Nothobranchius furzeri: one gene and its partner. The protein of the gene in region 2 interacts with the protein of the main gene of each other region in a biochemical or structural test. Links are inferred from orthologs where the notes say so. Each region holds a gene or a part of one and is shown on either strand. Other genes may lie near its edges.

Evidence for each region.
Region 1: of the proteins of prkaa1 (region 2) and rack1, one has a biochemical effect on the other in vitro, tested with the Homo sapiens proteins (2 studies listed by BioGRID). The link is inferred for Nothobranchius furzeri from reciprocal best matches to the Homo sapiens genes PRKAA1 and RACK1.

The regions. Positions count from the first base shown.
Region 1 is NC_091741.1:97,232,423-97,236,614, forward strand, and holds the start of rack1 (small ribosomal subunit protein RACK1), read right to left. Parts: upstream 2,876-4,192; 5' UTR 2,764-2,875; coding exon 2,655-2,763; intron 2,192-2,654; coding exon 2,020-2,191; intron 819-2,019; coding exon 671-818; intron 383-670; coding exon 287-382; intron 128-286; coding exon 17-127; intron 1-16. UniProt on the Homo sapiens protein: Scaffolding protein involved in the recruitment, assembly and/or regulation of a variety of signaling molecules. Interacts with a wide variety of proteins and plays a role in many cellular processes.
Region 2 is NC_091746.1:66,863,110-66,866,756, forward strand, and holds the end of prkaa1 (5'-AMP-activated protein kinase catalytic subunit alpha-1), read right to left. Parts: intron 2,779-3,647; coding exon 2,501-2,778; 3' UTR 133-2,500; downstream 1-132. UniProt on the Homo sapiens protein: Catalytic subunit of AMP-activated protein kinase (AMPK), an energy sensor protein kinase that plays a key role in regulating cellular energy metabolism.

The DNA.
Region 1 (4,192 bases), on a different chromosome or scaffold from region 2:
TGGAAGCAGATGTTACCTTTCCACCAGATGCACACAGAGAGCCATCAGGGGAGACGGTCACTGTGTTCAAATAGCCAGTGTGACCAATGTGGTTGGTCTTCAGCTTGCAGTTGGCCAGGTTCCACACCTGAGAGGCATCACACCCGAGACAGAACAAACATCAACATCCAACATGGAAGCTAATCATAAAAAAGGTTGTCTTACGCAAGTAGTCAGCTAATAAATGCAAACTAAGTTAAACCATCTAACCAGGACCAAACATTAGCAAATTACTAGTAAACCATACCTTGACCACCTTGTCCCAGCCACAGGAGACAATGATGGGGTTGCTGCTGTTGGGGGAGAAGCGAACACAAGACACCCACTCAGAATGGCCTTCATCCTGCAAAATCAAGTTTGAACAGTTTAAAGTTCAGCTCATCCCAACAATGGCTCACTTTAGCTCATGTAACCACCGAGACTTATTCCATGATCCTGACACACTACACACTTAAAACCATCATACAGATTTAGTCCACAATGCTCCAGCTGATGGCTGAGCTGTGTGCTCTACCTCAGAAAATGTAAAACTAGTTAAAAAAAAAAAAAAAAGCTTGAACAAAAACTAAATGAAAACCAAAGAAGGAACAGCTCTAAGCAGCAGCAGCAGCAGCATTAAGTGACAGCTCACCTGAATGGTGTACTTGCAGACTCCAAGAGTGTTCCACAGCTTGATGGTCTTGTCTCGGGAGCCAGATACAATCTGACGGTTATCAGCAGAGAAAGCCACACTCAAAACATCCTTTGTGTGTCCAACAAACTGACGGGTGGTGGTGCCACTAGAAAAACACAAGATTAAGACGTCCGATTAGAATAAAGCTATATTAAGTTTACAGTTTAAAATGCCTGCCCTCCTCTACTAATTATGGCCTCTACAAGCTACAGTCATTTAAGGAGTTAAAACAGTTTTTTTCCCCACTTGTATTCAAACAAATCACTTTAGTACACAAACCTTAATGCCGATCAATGACAATTTTTTTTAGGTTCAGTTTATATCGGGTTCCAGCACTTTAGCCAGAATCAAATTCCAGCTCCTCACTTAGATGATTAAAACTGTTCAAACATGGACTGTAGTTTTATTCCTGTATAAACCCCAAACCCATTTATTTAGATCTACTGTTCTCTTAAGTCACAACTAAGGAGTGTATAAAGTGATGAAGGTGTAGTAAGGACAATAACACTGTGGAACAACAGTGTCGGGTACAAGAAACTGGGAGAATTTATTTTATAGGATCTCTGACAAACATTGTAATTGTATATAACTGCATTTTTAAATGTCTGCTGTTTATTATTTAGTGCGAGATTACTGAAGTTCTATCTGTGGTACAAAACACTAGTATAAAAAGCTGTTGCACGGTCATGTACACGCAAATGAAGTTTGTTCACCAAGATTGGGTTTACACATGGTGTAGCTTAACTAGATGTCATTTCCCAACTGTTTTATGGCTTAAGTTATGTTCCCTGGCAACTTGGTATTTAGAGGTCATAAGTGCTGAAATGTTTGTAGCTCTAGTAACAAATACGCATTAGCGCGGACTGTGTGTTAACATCGGTTCAAACACATTTTCATTTATAGAACAAAGGTGACAAATCATATCTTTAAAACTATCCAGGATGTTTGTTACAACTTAAATTTAGAAAGGACATACTTCCAGCTAATACAAACATGCAAGTCTTTACCAACTTACTTATTTCTAAAAAGAAAAGCATTAACTAGTTTAAACTGTGTTCCACATAGATGCTTAGATGATGCAGATCAAGGGTCAGCAACTTTTTTCCTTGAGGGGTACCATCCTGCAAGTTCCACACGTTTCCTGCTCTAAAGGACCCAGATTAACTGATTTCATCACAACCTTCCTAAGTTGACTTCTCTAGATGCTCTCACACATTTAAATATGTTGGGAGCAGGTAAACGGGTAAAGAGATATATTTACAGGACAGCGGATCTGATGTAGAAGCTTTCTTCCTAGCTGTACTTACGTGGTGAGGTCCCACAGTCGGAGGGAGCCGTCCCAGGCGCCTGAGAGAGCAAACTGTCCATCCGAGGAGATGACAACATCACTTACAAAGTGAGAGTGGCCCCTCAGAGAGCGCTGAGGGATCCCATAGTTGGTCTCGTCACGAGTCAGCTTCCACATGATGATGGACTTGTCTGAAAGTTTAACACATAAGGTTCAGGACTCAGGAGTATTGCCTAAAGCAAAGAGCAGGTAGGTAGCATTAGCATGCGAAGCTAGCACTTAAGTTAATATCAAGTTAATATCACATTGCAGCGCTTGGTTCAAGGCCTTATAACCTCATGTCAAGTAGTCTGATGTTTAACTGGATGAATCAGTGTCGGTGCTATGTTGGTGTAAACCCAGGAGTGAAACACAGTAGATCCAGCTAATGACGCTAGAAAGCACAAGTTTAACTACACCAGGTTTCCTCCACTTCTGAAGTCGCAAATGTTCACTATAAGCGATTAATGAGCCTTTAGGCTGTTGTAATCACATTTCAGCGGTCTTCTGCCACTTCCGCAAAAATCGTATTTTTGTAACATTACCAAAGAGTCACTGCTAGCTTACAAAGCTAGCTGTAGCCATGTTGGCGGCTGCCGGCGGGGGAAGCCTCACCTCGGGACGCCGACAGAATCATGTCGGGATACTGAGGGGTAGTGGCGATCTGGGTGACCCATCCACTGTGGCCCTTCAGGGTCCCCCTCACTGTCATCTGCTCGGTCATTTTGACGAGGTTCGGTGGTGCCTTTTACAAGGATGGATTCGGATATTTCTCAGGTTCGTAAAAACCTAGGTCCTCATCGCATCTAGGCACGGAGGAAAAGGAAGTACAGACCCGGATGCAAAAACTAAGAGGGGTGAAGGGCTCGCAGAGCATTCTGGGATATGTTTTTTTCCCCAAGTCATCCAAGTGTGCTACAAGAAAAGACTGAAGGGGACTGTTTAGAAACATGATAAAACATTTCACTTACAACACATCACCATTATATATAAGTAATACACACTGATTTGGTTATTGGTAACAGCTGTGCACATCCCTGATATGTTTCTGTCTGAATGAATAAAGGAAATTAAGCTCTTACGAAACATAGCACCAGTAAAATAAAATGTCTGTGATGGACACAAATTTTCTGATTTTAGAATATTCTATATTTTACAAACGTCCGTATTTTTTATACTTTATGTTACACACACACACACACACACACACACACACACACACACACACACACACACACACACACACACACACACACACACACACACACGAGCTTTAATCCCATAATATTTGTTTCTTTTCATGTGAAAGGCGGCTTTAAAGTTGACGCCTTGATATATTTTATACCAGGGATGTCCAAACTTTCCTAGATAAGAGCCAAAATCAGCAAGTTAACTGTCCTTGTAGGCCACAACATATACATTTTTTAAATGCTAAAAATATTTATTCTTGCATTTGTACTCCCTAAAATTTGTCAAAATGGACTATTAAGTTTGAACATACAATGTTGGGGGGGGGGGGGGGGGGGACGACAGTGACATAAATTGCTCCAAGGGCGACAAATGAGGGCCACATACATGCCTGCTCTATACTTGTGTACTGATTAACAAACAATCTTTAAAATTTGAATTTTCATTTCATTTCACTTTATTTGTAAAGTCTCTTGTATTTATTTATTTATTTATTTATTGGTTCTTTTTTAAACACAGAGAAGAAAACTTTTCTTTCCTGTGTTTAAAAGAGAACCAAAAAAAAAATACAAGTTAAAAAGACCCAGAATGAATGCACAGAAGATTGTAATGTCCCTTCCACAATCTCATCAAACACCCAAGGTGCTGGACAATACAGCAGGCAACAAGTACAAATAAGACAATATAAAACAACCATAAAAACATATAACCTAATAAAAAAAGGCCAATTACAGACAAGACAATGATGCCACGCTACAAAATAATTAATGTTTTATCTCACATGTTGAACAACATTTGGAATCCTTCAATTTCCAGGCTTTCTACTGGTATGTTTTATGAATAATCTGATATTTCTATATGTAAACTACTGCACAGCTACACTATTTCAACACTGTTACATTAGGCTGAAGTGAGAATATTGGTAACAGTGTTGTGTGCTTAGAAAAAAATTGTATGGTAAGCCT
Region 2 (3,647 bases):
ATGTGCAAATGTAATAAAACTACTTTTTACACTGACTTTCAAGTGTTATTCTGCTCAAAAATAACACTAATACAATTTTGCATTACTAATAAATCAAAATGTAATCATGAAAAAGATTCAAAGACAGCAGTGTGCAATTTATTAGCATTTATTAGGCAGTTGCGTATACAAATGATTCAACACTTTCATTCAGATTTACACTGATCAATCCGATAGGGTCCATTCTCACTCCAAACAAAAATAGAGCTTTTTTAAAACTATATGAAGCTGTTCTATCAGACACTGAACCGAACAGCCTTTTAGGACACTTCATTTTCTAAAAGCTGGCAAAAATTTGTATTTTTTGCACACATTCACCTGTTTTCAACAAAACCCATCATATAAGGCATGGCAAGTTTTGGTCAATGCTTGCAACTGCCCTCTAAAACTAACGTGAGTGTTAAAATTTTACAACGCGTCTGCAAGACCATAAAGTTTTCGTCTTCAAATGGATTCTTTTTTTATTAACTCTGGCTTAAAACTGAGATAAAGACAAACTAAACATTTTTGCCATACCTGCCATACAGTACAAGAAAATATGATCACAATTATCGTCACTCTTAGCAATTTTTGAAGGAGAATCATTAAATATCTAAAAATGTGTAGATACATTCATCCTGGATTTCAAAGATCTGTAGAGCCGAAACTGGAAAAATCCAAACGCTGACAAGTTTTAAACAAATATCTAACTTTTAGGAATTTTTTTTGGTAGAAATGAGAACTTCTCCAAAAAAATAAGTTACTTTAATTTACAAAATTAGAAATCAATTTTACATCTACTTCAGTTTTTCTTAAATTCCAACCATCATCTTTACAGGCAGAGATGAATTACAGCTATTTTGGCAACATGATCCCATGTGTAGATTATGCAGTAAAATCCAAAACATCTCTAGAATATCGGACTTAACTTGGTGAGCTGAGGCTGAAAATATAAAATATGAACTTCAACCTTTAAAATTGCAGAGGTTACCAATAATTCAGGCCAGCAAAGGGCTCAAACCTGACATAAAAACTGATAAACAGTACGAATAATAAGGCAGCCAAATGGACACCAGTGAAAACCTTTAAGACTAGACAGGAAATGGAACAAGATCATACATATCCAAGACTCTTACCTTGCAAATTCTTTTACTTATTTTGTTCTGTGCCACACGTTTACTAGCTCGCTTTTATTCTTCATCTTTCTCACCATTTACAGTACCAGCAATGATCTGGTTCAGGTTTAAACAAACGATGTGCAACCTTTAAAGGAATGTGTGAGCGAAACATAAATGATGTTGACGGACGCCGTTGACGCACTGCATTTAATTGCTGCTCGTTTAAAATTGAGCACAGAGGCCTGAACACACGTGACTGATTGGCATTTCATCAAATGAATGTAAGCAAAAGACATCCCATCCAGTAATCATACTCCATAATCCAAAAGAAAAGAAAAAAATCATAATCAACTTGTCACTGTAATAAACTGATAATGATATATTTCTAGACGTTGACCGTCGTTGCAAAACACCTTCTAAAAAGCAGACTAGTTCTCTAGAAAGACAATCAAGTATCTGAATAATTGTGATTGAGGGAAACAAAGGTGTGACACTGAATTAAAAACAGCTAAAAATGAGTATATATTTAAACATCCAGCATTAGAGCGTAATGAAAGAAAAAACAAGTCATTGGAACCAAAACTCCATCCACTTAATGCATTGATAAATATTTTCAGGTATTTATTTATAAAAAAAAATATAAGTCGGAGCTGGACAATCGGTCACAACGAGGACAGAACCATGAACATTTAGTCTTTGACATTTAACAAAATAAAACCCAACATGGAGCATTCTTAAGTCCCTGACACGTACCAGAACCACAGAGGCCACTGCACTAATGTGATGTGATGGGAATGAAACGCTGCGGCGCTCTGGGACGTCGGCACCGCTTCTCTGATCCCTACTGAGGAAAAAAGGTAATAAAAAATAACAAAGCAGCAGAAAATTACAGAAACTTGTGCAAAAGTGCTTCCTGCATCCTATGAACATCACTCAATCCTCAAACTGTGGCTCCGCCCCCTCCCCGCAGCAGGTAAAAAATAAAAAAAGTGATCTTGTTCTCTGTACTGAAAAGCAGGCCTTGCAGGCTACAGCACAGAACGTTCAGTGTAATCACTTCTGCGTAATTTGTAAGTTGGGATGTTGATATCTGCTTTTAAACAGATTGAGAAATTTAAAGACCTCCCCCTCCCCGAAATGTTGTTTCCTGCTCTAGCTAGCTGGGTAGCGTAATCTCAACAACTCCTAGAGACCCAGTCAGCTCTGTATGTTTCCCCTCTGCACAGAGAACACCAACCTGCATGAGCGCCACGGAACAATCACCTCATCCTCAGTTGGGATGAAGTAAGCCATGAATCTGTTCCATGCTTATTGCTATAAAGACACTCAGAGAAGAAAAGGCTAGCGATGATTGTTTTTGCAAGCTATCGTGCAAGTAGTTTAATAAGATTCGCGCACATTTCAAAGAACTCGATGGTGTGGCTTCCTGGTCGAGGGGTGTTCTCCCCTCCCCCCGTCGAGTCGATGGACGAGGTCGAGGATGACCCTAAGGACCCTTCGGCGGTCTTGGTGGGCTGCACAGTGCTAGACGTGGCTGAAACGTCCGCCCCATCGACATCGTTCTTAGTGGTGGTGCGGTAGTTGCTCACAGAGCCAGAGCGGAGCGGGGTAGCAGTTCCAGACTTTGTCTCCACCATTTCATCTAAATAAAAAAGAAAAACTTTTTTTTTTTTAATGTATCCAAAAACAGCTCAATCGAGACCAAACAAAGGTAACATTTGAAAGCCCGCATGGTAAAAGCTGTGTGTACAGAAAACACATCAAACTTCCCAAAGGCCAATTTAGTGAACCCTTTCTTGCTCACTGTCTCGAGTGAAAACATAAATCTAACAAGTCGTGTTTGACTTTGATGACGTAAGTCTAGTTTTACCTCAACAACCTTTATACAGCACGCCTGTCCCACATAAAACACTCCGAACATTTCCCTTTCAGGTCCGTTCAAACAGCACAGACTTCCAAAGCCTTGAGCTGCACGTCAATCATTTATGAAATCTTTAGCAAGGCTCCAAACTACAGATCAGCACTGCGGACACGCAGGGAGCCACGCTTCAGCGTCAGCGTTAGACAGCTTGTTGTTTGTTTGTTGGGGAATTCCTAAAAAAAAAATCTGACAATTAAAAAAACAAAAGTTTTGTAATAAAAACATTTTGATTCCCCTCCAGAGCTTTATACTTAGAAGTTGGGTTTCTTCTTGTAAATACACGAGTCAGACATTTTTGCCTTTTTTTCTTGCACAAGTCAAATATTTAACAATCACAGTTAACGTTTTTTCACTTTCTGATTTTTCACACTTTTCTTGCAAATGTCTAAAACAAAAATGAGGAAATGAAGAAAATACCTCCCAAAAAATGTGACGTTCCTGTTTGAAATAAAACATTTTCACATTGGGATTACACACTTTTAACCCCCCCCCCCCCAGCTAAATGAATAATATTTATAATCTGCAGCAGCCTAGTGCATGTAGGAGTCATATGTCTGGACAGCAGTCCCTCTCTAAAGGACACCGGGTCT